Mus musculus: one gene and its partners. The protein of the gene in region 1 interacts with the protein of each later gene in a pairwise test. Links are inferred from orthologs where the notes say so. Each region holds a gene or a part of one and is shown in the gene's direction. Other genes may lie near its edges.

Region 1 (4,119 bases):
ATTATCTTGATTTTATCTAAGTAGGAGAGGATGTAAAATGTACCTTTGACTAAGAGCAAAGTCATTCTACTTGTTTCTCGGTAAATAGGCAAGAAAGCAACTTTTCAAGTTCTGTAACTGTTTATTAACATCCTTTTGACCAAGAATATACTATCTGCAGTACGAAGTAAAAAAAAAAAAAAAGGCTTTAATGGACTCAAATTCAGTATCTTCTAATCGTAGAATTTGAGGTCTAGTGGGGGTGGGAGAGTCCTGGCTGATTTTGAGATGATAACACAACAAGCTTTCTCTAGAAATATAGTTATAAATGGCTTCTAAACCCACTGAAGTGATAGTGAAGGGAGATTCCTGCATTTACCAGACTACTGAAAAGATGCATTCATAGATCTTTAAAAGTTAATTACTAATGTTTACTTTACTCAGGGGCTTTCTGTTCCTTGTCCTGACCTTTGTTGTTGTTGCTATTTGTGATTTATAGTGTAAGGTTTTCTGAGGTTTAAACTATTAAACAATCAATAATAACACGCATAGGAACTCCCAAAGTGAGTGGTGGTCTGCGAGTAAGGCTCAAGTTCCTTCGAGACAGTAACTAAAATCATTAAAAACATTCGTTTGCAAAGAAGTGTCTTTAGAATTGAAAAAACGATGAGGGAGGGGCCCTATCTCGCCATTGATTCCACAGGTAAAACGGAAGCAGTAGTATCTAGTGTTAAGAAAACCGGCAATCCATTAATTACTGCAGAAAGATGCAGGTTGGGTGACACAGGGAACACATAAAAGAAAGGGGAAAGGGGGAGACTGAGACTCCAGCGTTTGAAAGTGTATATCCGTCCAGATATTTGTAGCAGATGGCAATCGGCTTAGTGGAATGCCACCGTAATTCCACACTAAACAACGCAGCAAGTCGGCCTCTTGGCGAGGGGCCGAGTCCACCACCCGGGTTCTTCCTAGGACTGTTGGCCTGATGCTCCGGGATGTGCATCGCGGCCGCATGACTCCCAGCCTGTGCACCCTCGGATCCCCGGAGAATCACGCTAGCGCCAGGGCTCCCGCGCCCCACAGCGCCCGCACCATCCCCGCCGCCCCGCACGAGCCGCGGCCCCGCCGAGAAACTCAACCGCGGCCAGGAAGCCCAGGTTCTTACCATAGTGAGGCCGGTGCTGGTCCAGCCACATCACCCTTCCGGGCCGGGGCGGAAGAGGATGCAGGCCCGCTGTGCTTCCCGCTCGCTCCAGCGGTCCGGTTGGACCTATCGCGGCGCCTCCGCCCATGCCGCACCATTCAGACTCCGTGATAGGCTTCTGTTACCGGAAGAGGTGGGACTTGGCCGACGACTCGCAAACCACGGTATTAGCGGATTCTCTCATTGGGCGCATCGGTTTATCTCTGGCGTCCACAATTTTTAGAAGACCGGAAGTGGAGTACTGAGAGGTAGGGCCCGGAAGTGGCTGTGGTGTCTTTCCAGAAGCAATGCATTTTTTCCCCCCTTTCTATGTCAACCTCCTGTAGTCCCTGATTTTAGCTTTAAAGCTGCGCAGTGCGTGCTTTTTACCCTGTCTGTGACCCCCTGAGCCTTTTGTAGATGTAAGGTTTTCCCAATGTGAGCACCTGTTGGGCTCCTTCCTAAGTGTCTCTTTCTGTGTCACGTGGAATTTTCAGTCGTGAGGGACTCCTTGGAACTGTGCTGAGCTGCTCTGTGGTGGAGACTTGGATTTAAAAGGCTGCGTCCAGTGTGATGACCCACCAGCCCCTCCCGCCAGCCAATGCTGGCCTTGGCTGGCCCCCTCCTTGTTTGCACACTCTACATCCGGGGCTTAGACGTTCTAGGCCGTGGGGAGAGGGAAAGAACTCTGTGGTAGCTACTGGAAAGGAACGGCCCATTCCCGAGGGGATTATTTGGCTAGTATAAAACCAGTGGGTGAGAAACGATTTCACCTCTAGTTCTCTTTATGAGTTTTGTAGATACGGGGAAGATGTAATCTGATGTGTTCAATTTTATATACATTCTTGGAATGATTCTGAAGTCGGGCACTTTCCCCACTCTTCCAAGTGTATCAAAATTATGGAAATCCTGTGTGTTTAAATAATTGTTTTTTTCCTTTAGTCAGTATGGCTCTAGTATTTATTCAGAATGTTACCCATTCTTTAACTTAATGACCTAGAAGAAGTATAGAAAGCTTTAGTGAAGGAAACTGATGTGATATGTTAATTTCTAACCATTATTTAGCTGAATCATGAGAATCTAGTACTTATGGCAACACAGTACTTTTACCTAGTGCTATGCTATATGTGATTGTGTTTATTACTGCATTGTCATCCAAGATTTTATTTGAAATTATTACTACATTTTTAAAATCAGTTATACCCAACTGCTAAACCTGTTGATCAAATACTCAAGTTCAGAATCTGCATCTTAGTGGTATCAGGAGACTGCAGGACAAGGGATTTCTTTGAGTATTTGAATGGGGGACTGGGGATTAGGCCAATAGGAGAAGTGATTGTCATTGAATAGTCTCAAAATTGCTTTGTGTTATACTTACTATTTAAGTTGACTAACCATGAATGTTTCAAATGTAGACGTAGAAAATATGTTCTGAGCTCAGTAAGTTTGGGTTTTACAGTAGTGAAAGTGTTGGTAGATGTTATAACTGACTCTATTCATATAAAGATTGCTAGGTCCTACTGTTTGACACTTCAGGTTGATGTTTCTGTATGAGGTTCTGGTCCAGGCTCTAGTAAAGAGGCTAAGGTTGTTTAAGATGGTAATTGGTTTGTTGTATTTATGGGCAATTTAGGCCATAGTTTCTTATATATCTCAACTTTAGAATAGAGGCAATTAACACTTTTCAGTTCTTTGTTTTTGTTTTGTTTTGTTTTTCGAGACAGGGTTTCTCTGTATAGCCCTGACTGTCCTAGAACTCATTCTGTAGACCAGGCTGACCTCGAACTCAGAAATCCATCTGCCTGTACCTCCCAAGTGCTGGGATTAAAGGCGTGCACCACCACTGCTGGCAACACTTTTCAATTCTTAAGTTATCCATAGAAGTACATAGTGTCAGGAGGTAGAGTTGAACGTGTGTGTGTGTGTGTATACATATACATATATAAAAAATTTATTATATCCATGTAAAATAGCAAAATTAATATACCAGTGTGACCTGTGGGGAAGCTGCATGGCGATTCGGCACACAAAATCCTTGATTGTGTTTTTTGTTGCAAGTGAATGGTAATCACCATGTTAAATTCCTTTTCTTTATTTCCACTTCTAGTAGCTCTGCTGTGATTTTCATTTCTAATCATCATGGGTTAATTTACTGTTAAGAAAAGATCTTGACTGTGTTATTCAATTATGCAGACATTATTGTCTTCTCTGAATGTGGAAGAATATTTTCAATTTTCATTTCATAAAATCCAGAGTTGTATATAAAATGAGAAATTTATAGTTTTTGTAAGAGTGCATTGAGCTTAGGCCATAGTTACATATAAATTAGGCCATAATACATATAAATAATTAAAACCTGTTTGATACATTGTAAGCATTATAGTGAACATTGAATTTTCATCCTTGAGTGGAGGGCTAATGATGGAAAATTGTTTGATTGTTAGATGCTATTTATACAATAAAAAGTTTAAAATTCATTTAGTTTCTTATGCAGCCAGGCCACTTTCTCTACATTTCCCATTTGTTTTTGATTTCTGATACTGATATTATTTGAGGTTTCTTTTTTTTCCTCCAATTTTTTATTAGGTATTTACTTCATTTACATTTCAAATGCTATCCTGAAAGTCCCATATACCCTCACCCCTCACCCCGCTTTCCTATCCACCAACTCCCACTTCTTGGCCCTGGTGTTTCCCCTGTACAATAGTGTCTGCATTTGGTGGCTGATAATGGGATGGACGGCTGGGTGGGGCAGTGTCTGGATGGTCCATCCTTTCCTCTCAGCTCCAGTTGGAACATGCCCAGGAGAGGTATTGCGGGATCCTCCGGTAGTACAATGTCCAATTTTCTGAGGAACTGCCAGACTGATTTCCAGAGTGGTTATACAAGCTTGCAATCCCACCAGCAATGGAGAATTGTTCCTCTTTCTCCACAACCTCACCAGCATCTGCTGTCAC
Region 2 (3,500 bases), on another chromosome or scaffold:
TTTGAAATAAAGAATGCCTGAAATTTTTTTAAATCAAAATGTTTGTATTTGTAACAAAGAGAAGAAGTAACTTTCATTGAAATGTTTATATTTATGAACAAGGTGGGGGGAGAATGGCATTTTGAATTTGAGATATACCCCATACCCACACATGTACATATCTATAAAATCATTACAAAAATCTACCTGTTCTTCAGCCTCCGTGTTATTGCTGTAAACTCTCCCTTCTATCAAATGGATAGTGTTCCAAGTCTCTATATTTTCTAAATTTACGTTCCTCTTTGTTTTGTGTTTTAAATTTTTAAAAATTAATATACAAATGGGGTTTACTATGATATTTGCATATATTTTATTATAATTTATTATAATGTATCCCCTCTGATGTCCTCTGTGCTCCTTTTTGTTTTCTGTTTTTGTTTTTGTTTTTTTGTTTGTTTGTTTTTGTCCTTTTTGTTTTCTGAGACAAAGTCTTCCTATATATGGTATAGGTCTGGCTGTCCTGGAACTTGCTGTGAAGGCCAGGCTGGCTTCGAACTCACAGAGATCCTCCTGCCTCTGACTCCGAGTTCTGGGCTTAAAGGCATGCACCACCATGCCCAGCTCTCTGTGCAACTCTTACCTCCCCTAACTTGCTGGTTCCTTCCCTTCCCAAATAACCCCTTCCTGCTCTCGTTCCACGGCTGTTACCTCACCCTGACTCTTTCACTTCTGCCTGAAGATCCACTCCCTCTTCAGCCTCTTTGTAGTTTAATGGCCCGAAACGCCTGTCCTCCCTGCCCCTGCCCCCTAGTATAGGTTCCATATCTGAGAAAAGTGTAGTATTTGTCCATCTCTGTCTAACTCATTTCACATAACACGATGGTTTGCAGTTCCCTCCATTTCTCTGCAAATGGTATGATGCTTACAATGTGGTTCTCATAAGTATGCAGTAGAATTCCCTAGAGACCACAGAACATTATTGTTGTTAATGATCAAATGCAGAAACAAGGAAAAGCCAACTGCCTTTTCTTAAGCATGCATTACATCTTCATGAATTTTATATTGGCATTAAAGAGTATATAAGGGCCAGTAGGATGACTCAATGGCTATGCTAGATAATTCTTTTTGTTGTTGTCGTCATCATCATCATCATTAATTTTGTCGACTGGACACAAGCTAGAGTCATTTGAGAGGAGGGAGCCTCAATTGAGAAATAATACCTCCATGAAGTTGGGCTATGGGTGAGACTGTGAGACATTTTCTTGATTGATTGCTGTGTGATGGCTCAGCACATTGTGGGCAGTGTCAACCCTGGGCAGGTGGTCTTGAGTTGTATAAGAAAGCAGGCTGAGCAAGCCTTGAAGGGTGAGCAAGCCAGTAAGCAACATTCCTGCCCTGATTCCTTCCAGGATGAAGTGTGACCTTCTTAGGTTGTGAGTGGAGATAAACCCATTTATCCTCAAGTTAATGTTTGGTCATGACATCTTATCACAGCAATAGAAAGCAAACCAAGACAGTGGGTAAAGGCACTTGCCACCAAGCCTTATGACCTGAGTTGGGTCCCTAAAACACACATAGTCCAGGGAAAGAGTGAACTCCCCCTCCCCCATATAGATAAATAAATAAACGTAAAGAAGATTTTTTTTAAAGATGTTAAGATGTTATTTATAATATGTGAAAAGACATTTTCACTGTTATCTTAAATAAACAAGTGTACTTTTCTTATTTCTCATTTTAAATTTATACAGGGCAATCCCCCCACATAATCAGAGGGCACTCAAATTCTAGTAATAAATTTTAAGGCCATAAGAGAGGCCGGAACCAAAGAGTTTGGAAAATAGTTTTAGAAAACAGGATAGTATACTTTGTGTAGGCAAAAGAGTTTAAAGATCAGAAACATTGGGTCTTTCTAGAATGTTGAATGTTTTTATCTTAGCATAGGATGCACGGTCTTTTAAGGCTATAGATGCTTATGTTTGTTGTATACCTACATGAACAATATAATGCTTACAATCGACCTTTTATACATGTCACTGATCATGTGACACTGAGAGTCCTGGGCTGACTCAGTGTTCCTGCTCGAGAGAGGAAGGGACCTGGGAAAATGAAGCCCATACTGAAATGGACCAAAGTCTCATGCGGTAGGCGACTTTATTCAGAACCCTAGACAGTGTGTACTGTGGGGTAAGAAAGGCCACAGGAGTTACGTTCTCGAGAGTTCAGTCTGAACACAATTACAAGAACTGGCTGCACACGGCGAAAACGTGTTTCCATAGAGGTAGAAAGGATATTCTAAACATTTCATTGACTGGCAGCTGCAAGCAATAATGAGTGATTGGAAGTAACCTCACTCTTACCTGCTACACCTGGGAGGAGCACAGACGCACCTTCAAGATCAGTTCTGTGTTTTGAATAAACTGAAACTACAAGACTCTGTTTCCTCGCAGTGTTTGTTCTCACAGGACGGCGTTCCTGGACCATTTTCCAGCAACCAGATGTCAAGTTGGTGGACAACATGGCATGGGGATCTCACCTGTGTTTACGTCATCAACATGGGAATTTGGTTTCTTTCTGGAATAAAGATACTGGTTGGCCTCGCTCACAGCCATTACAAACCCATAGCTTCCTATTGTTTTTCCTCTGACAGCAAGTTTATCGTCCTCACAGGAGGAACCCCCTCCACTTTCAACACTTCAGCCACCCTGGTGACAGTGACTATGGAGAGGTACATGGCACAGATGAAGGTGTGATTGGTGACAGGCCCGAGTGTCCCTATGGAGCGTCTTGTTACAGGTAAGGAGGCTGCGCCATGTGGCTGCCCTTCTCCCTAATCGCTTCTTAGCCAGCTCAGACGGCCTGACTGGAGCCCCCATCTCAAGCCTACAGCATAGATTTTATTAAGTTTATGTGGAACACAGAGTTTCTCTCATGTAACCCTAAATTGTTGTTAATCTTATAGGTAACTGAAGTTTTTCTGTATTTCTGTCTAAAATGCAATCAGGTTAACTTATAAGACATCCTAATACATGTTCTATGAAGACTCTGAGGTGTGATATAAGCCTACTGGGGATTTAATTTCTATTTCTGCTTCCTCAACTTCTACTAATCTACTCCTCTTGCCAACACCCAGAACTCAGGCACAGCTGAAGAACTCGGGAGCCTTCCCTTTGCTCGTTCATGCTGTCGCCTCCTCCTCAGGCTGAGTAGACCTCTCCACACCACAGTCTTTCTTGACCAGAATGTCTCCCCACCCAGGCAGCATGCACGTTACATTGACAGAAAGGAGTCTTGGTATTTTGAAACCTTGTTTATTAGGTGAATGAACTTGAACTTAACCAAAGTACAAAATCAAGTACAAAACAAACCTAAGGAACTCTACTGCAGACAGCGGTTTGTTTCTAGGTGATCTTGAGTACAGGTTACAGACTGAATCTTCTGGCTACCATAAAGTTGATGCAGATAGCCTGTTTGTACTGAGCAGAGCAGGGCACTTACGCATGTATTCTGCAAATGCTCCAAGC
Region 3 (3,500 bases), on another chromosome or scaffold:
CCTAAGGTTCTGGATTTAGAGTTGGGGCTCTGCATTGCTTTCTTGAACATTCTTTCTTCAGGCTAGCTTGGACTTCTGTTTCCCGAGATCCTATCTTCTACCTCTTTCTCTGTTGAAGTCACTTGATGCTAATGTTCCTTGTCTTGAAGCTCATGCTAGAGAAGCCCTCTCCTACTTTAGCTTCAGCCCCAGCTCTAGGTAGGTTCTCCTTCTCCCCAATAGTAGGAGCTTATCTAATCATGAGCAGGAGCTTTTCTCCTGTTGGCAGTCTGTGATCCCGAGCTGCCTAGGGGTCCGTAGGGGTTCATGAAAGCTGCCTCACAGTTTTTTTTCTTTTTTTTTCTCTCTCTCTCTCTCTCTCTCTCTCTCTCTCTCTCTCTCTTTCTTTCTTTCTCTCTCTCTCTCTCTCTCTCTCTCTCTTTCTCTCTTTCTCTCTTTCTCTCTTTCTTTCTGGCTCACTTTGTAGCCTTGGCTGTCCTGGAGCTCACTATATGGACTAGGCTGGCCTCTACCTCACAGAGCTCCTCCTGTTTCTGCCTCTGAGGTGCTGGGATTTAAAGGTGTGTGCCACTGCAACCAGCTTCAAAGAGTGAAAGACACTGAGCACTTGTTTGCTTTTCTGATTTATTTTTATTATTTTAAAATTACATGTGTATCTGTGTGGGTGTATGTTTGACTTCAGTTCCCTGTGGAGGCGGAGGCGTCAGATTGCTCTGGACCTAGGGTGAGAGGTGGTAATGAGCCGCCCAGTGTTGGGAACCAAGCTTAGGCTCTCTGGGAAAAGCAAGTGAGTACTACTAGCCACTGAGCCATCTTTCCAGCCTCCACTCCCCTCACCACCCCAGGGTTTCAGCCAGAATATTAGCAGTAGGTAACAGAATACATGCACTAATATAATATGTGTGTGTGCGCGCGCGCATGCATGTGCTTGCACATGAGCAGTTGCACATGAGCAGTTGCACATGAGCAGTTAAGATATTCTTACATATTCCAGACTGACCTCACACACTGGCTAGGCAGCCAAGGCTGGCCTTGAACTAATCTGGACTCTACTTTCCAAGTCTGAGATTTCCACCATGGCCAGCTCGCTGATGGACAGTTTATGGAAGGGTTTGAAGCTATTAGAAATTGGTAGGATTTGTAGGCCCAGGCACAAGCAGAACAGGCTCAGCTGGGGGTTGACTGCAGCAGTCAAGCTTTGTTGTCCTTTGGGGACAGCAGAGTACCCAGTTTTGGTTGCATTTGTGTTTAATTTTTCTTATTTCTTTCAGTACAGTTGAAAGCAGAGTGTAACAAGGGATATGTCAAAGTACAGCAGGTATGTGTGTTCGCGCCTTGTTTCTCCAGTTTTATACTCGATAGTTTTCTTATGCCGTTGCTTTCGACTGTCTGTGTCAGCTGATGAACGCTCCTCTGTCATGGGGAAGTGATAGAGTGAGTGCCAGGCAGGTAGAGTAAGCAGTTAATATAGCACCAGCTCTATCACCAATGGCATTACTGCTATTACACATTATACATTATACATTATACATTATACATTATAACGGTGTATCCACAGATGGGGGTCAACCCCACCAGCATTGACTCGGGCGTCATCGGGAAGGACCAAGAGAAGAAGCTGCTGCCTGGTCAGGTTCTCCACATGGTGAATGGACTTTATCCATACATCGTAGAGTTTGAGGAAGTGGCAGAGAGCCCTAACCTAACACAGAGGAAGAGAAAGAGGTCAGACTGTGATAGTGAGGAGATGGAAGCTGAGTCTGGGACAGGGCTGGCACCTGGGAGCAGCCCCAGCCAGTGCTCTGTGTCCCCTAAGAAGGACAAGAATGGAGCCACCAAAAAGGTGAGAATGGTGTGCTTGAAAGATGCTGTGGAGATGAATTGACATAATGACTGCTTAATTGTTGTGTACACGGTACATTGTTTGTACACAGTGAGATGGTATTAATCTAATGAGGGTTCTTAACCATGATGAAAGAGTCACTTGTTTGTGGCCTGAAAATCACTTGGTGAATGTCCCTTTAGATTCTTTTCTATTAAGTTCCTGAGGTAAACCACTTGAAGAAAGACAGGGCAGTCAGTAATGACAGTGTGACACACCCTGCCCAGCTTAGTGAGGGAATGAAAAAAGGACAGACACACATACAGAGAAGCTGGAAATGGGTAGGCTCTGTTACCTAATGGAGCTGCAGCACCACCAACAGCCCGGAAACTCAGCATGGTTGTTTTATACATCTGAATTGAGGAGGTGGCTTTATTGTGTATAGCTGAACAGGGAGACAGGTTTAGGTAACTCTGGTAGGAGGTCTTTGTAAGGGAACAGTCTCAGGCTATAAACATCTTGCAGGAGGAGTTGTGATTGACGGCTTCTGCATGCACTGCACAGCTAGCCATTTATAACCACTTGGACCAGAGGAGGGGTTTGTCATCCCTCTGGGCCTTATCCATCTAGGCACTGAAGTTCTCTCCATGACTGGTCATGGCAACAACACACATTCATTCAGGACTTCATCCACTCCTTACACATCTATTCCCATTATAGTATAATTAACGTTTAATACTAAAATGGGTCATTTGCCTGTCTACCTACCGGTTAACACTGAAGCCTTCATAGATAGTTTTTCACATGTTGATGTCAAAGGAGACACTTGGGTAGGCTGCAGCTGGAGTGTAAGCAGGCAAGGAGGACGATTTAAAACTGGCAGTTTTGGCTTTATGGAGCTTTTCCTGGGGAGATGTGAATGGATCTCTCTTCATCCCAGATATGGCACTAATGACAGACCAACCATGCCACCCAAGTTTAAGTTGGTAAACCATCGAGTCTAATCGTGGTTACAGGGGCCTGGGCAGCTTAAGTGTGACTACTCTATCAGAGAGGAGGCTCCCTCTCCAGCAGCTGATAGCTGCTTGTGTGTCCTCCCTCCTCGTCCATCTCCCAGTAAGTGAATATTTGGCCCAGTACTGCCACCGTCTTACTCAGGTAATATTAGCTGCTCCTAGTCAAGGTAGCAATCCTTGCACATTGGACAAAGTTCCATGGCAGGCCTCCATCCTTACACCCAGGTCTAGATGTAGAAGATGGTGGGGAAGCTTGTGGTCCTAAAGGGCGATGGGCCGAAGCAAAGGAAGCCTAGTGTCATTCTCAAAGCTAACCTTCCTTCCATGTTTCATTTGGACGCTGCTGATAAGTAGTATTAGCTACATTTCATTACTGGCATTCTCATTTACATTGTTTTTTTATTTAGGAATCACTGGGCCACTGGAGTCAAGGCTTGAAGATGTCTATGAAAGACCCCAAAATGCAGGTCAGAATAAAATTGTATACTTTAGTGTCTGTCATAGAGTCCATGAGCATGCTACTAACGTGGTAACTATAGATGAAGCCAAAGGATGCCAGCTCTTCCTCGTGGGATTCTGTTACTGCACTGGTCTATGAGGACAAGAATCACTTAACACTACATTTTTGGTCTCTTCTCTAAATGTTATACTATACCCACACT

The links. The genes of interacting proteins can lie anywhere in the genome.
Region 2: the proteins of Xrcc4 (region 1) and Aplf interact in binary tests that used the Homo sapiens proteins (3 or more experiments, as listed by UniProt). The link is inferred for Mus musculus from reciprocal best matches to the Homo sapiens genes XRCC4 and APLF.
Region 3: the proteins of Xrcc4 (region 1) and Aptx interact in binary tests that used the Homo sapiens proteins (3 or more experiments, as listed by UniProt). The link is inferred for Mus musculus from reciprocal best matches to the Homo sapiens genes XRCC4 and APTX.

Annotation. Positions count from the first base shown.
Region 1 is NC_000079.6:90,086,809-90,090,927, reverse strand, and holds the start of Xrcc4 (DNA repair protein XRCC4), read left to right. Parts: upstream 1-1,319; 5' UTR 1,320-1,431; intron 1,432-1,448; exon of another isoform or gene 1,449-1,918; intron 1,919-4,119. Other genes in the region: Tmem167 (protein kish-A precursor), read right to left, coding at 1,145-1,147.
Region 2 is NC_000072.6:87,641,162-87,644,661, reverse strand, and holds part of Aplf (aprataxin and PNK-like factor), read left to right. Parts: intron 1-2,646; coding exon 2,647-2,772; intron 2,773-3,500. UniProt on the Homo sapiens protein: Histone chaperone involved in single-strand and double-strand DNA break repair.
Region 3 is NC_000070.6:40,693,195-40,696,694, reverse strand, and holds part of Aptx (aprataxin), read left to right. Parts: intron 1-1,271; coding exon 1,272-1,318; intron 1,319-1,558; coding exon 1,559-1,843; intron 1,844-3,245; coding exon 3,246-3,305; intron 3,306-3,500. UniProt on the Homo sapiens protein: DNA-binding protein involved in single-strand DNA break repair, double-strand DNA break repair and base excision repair.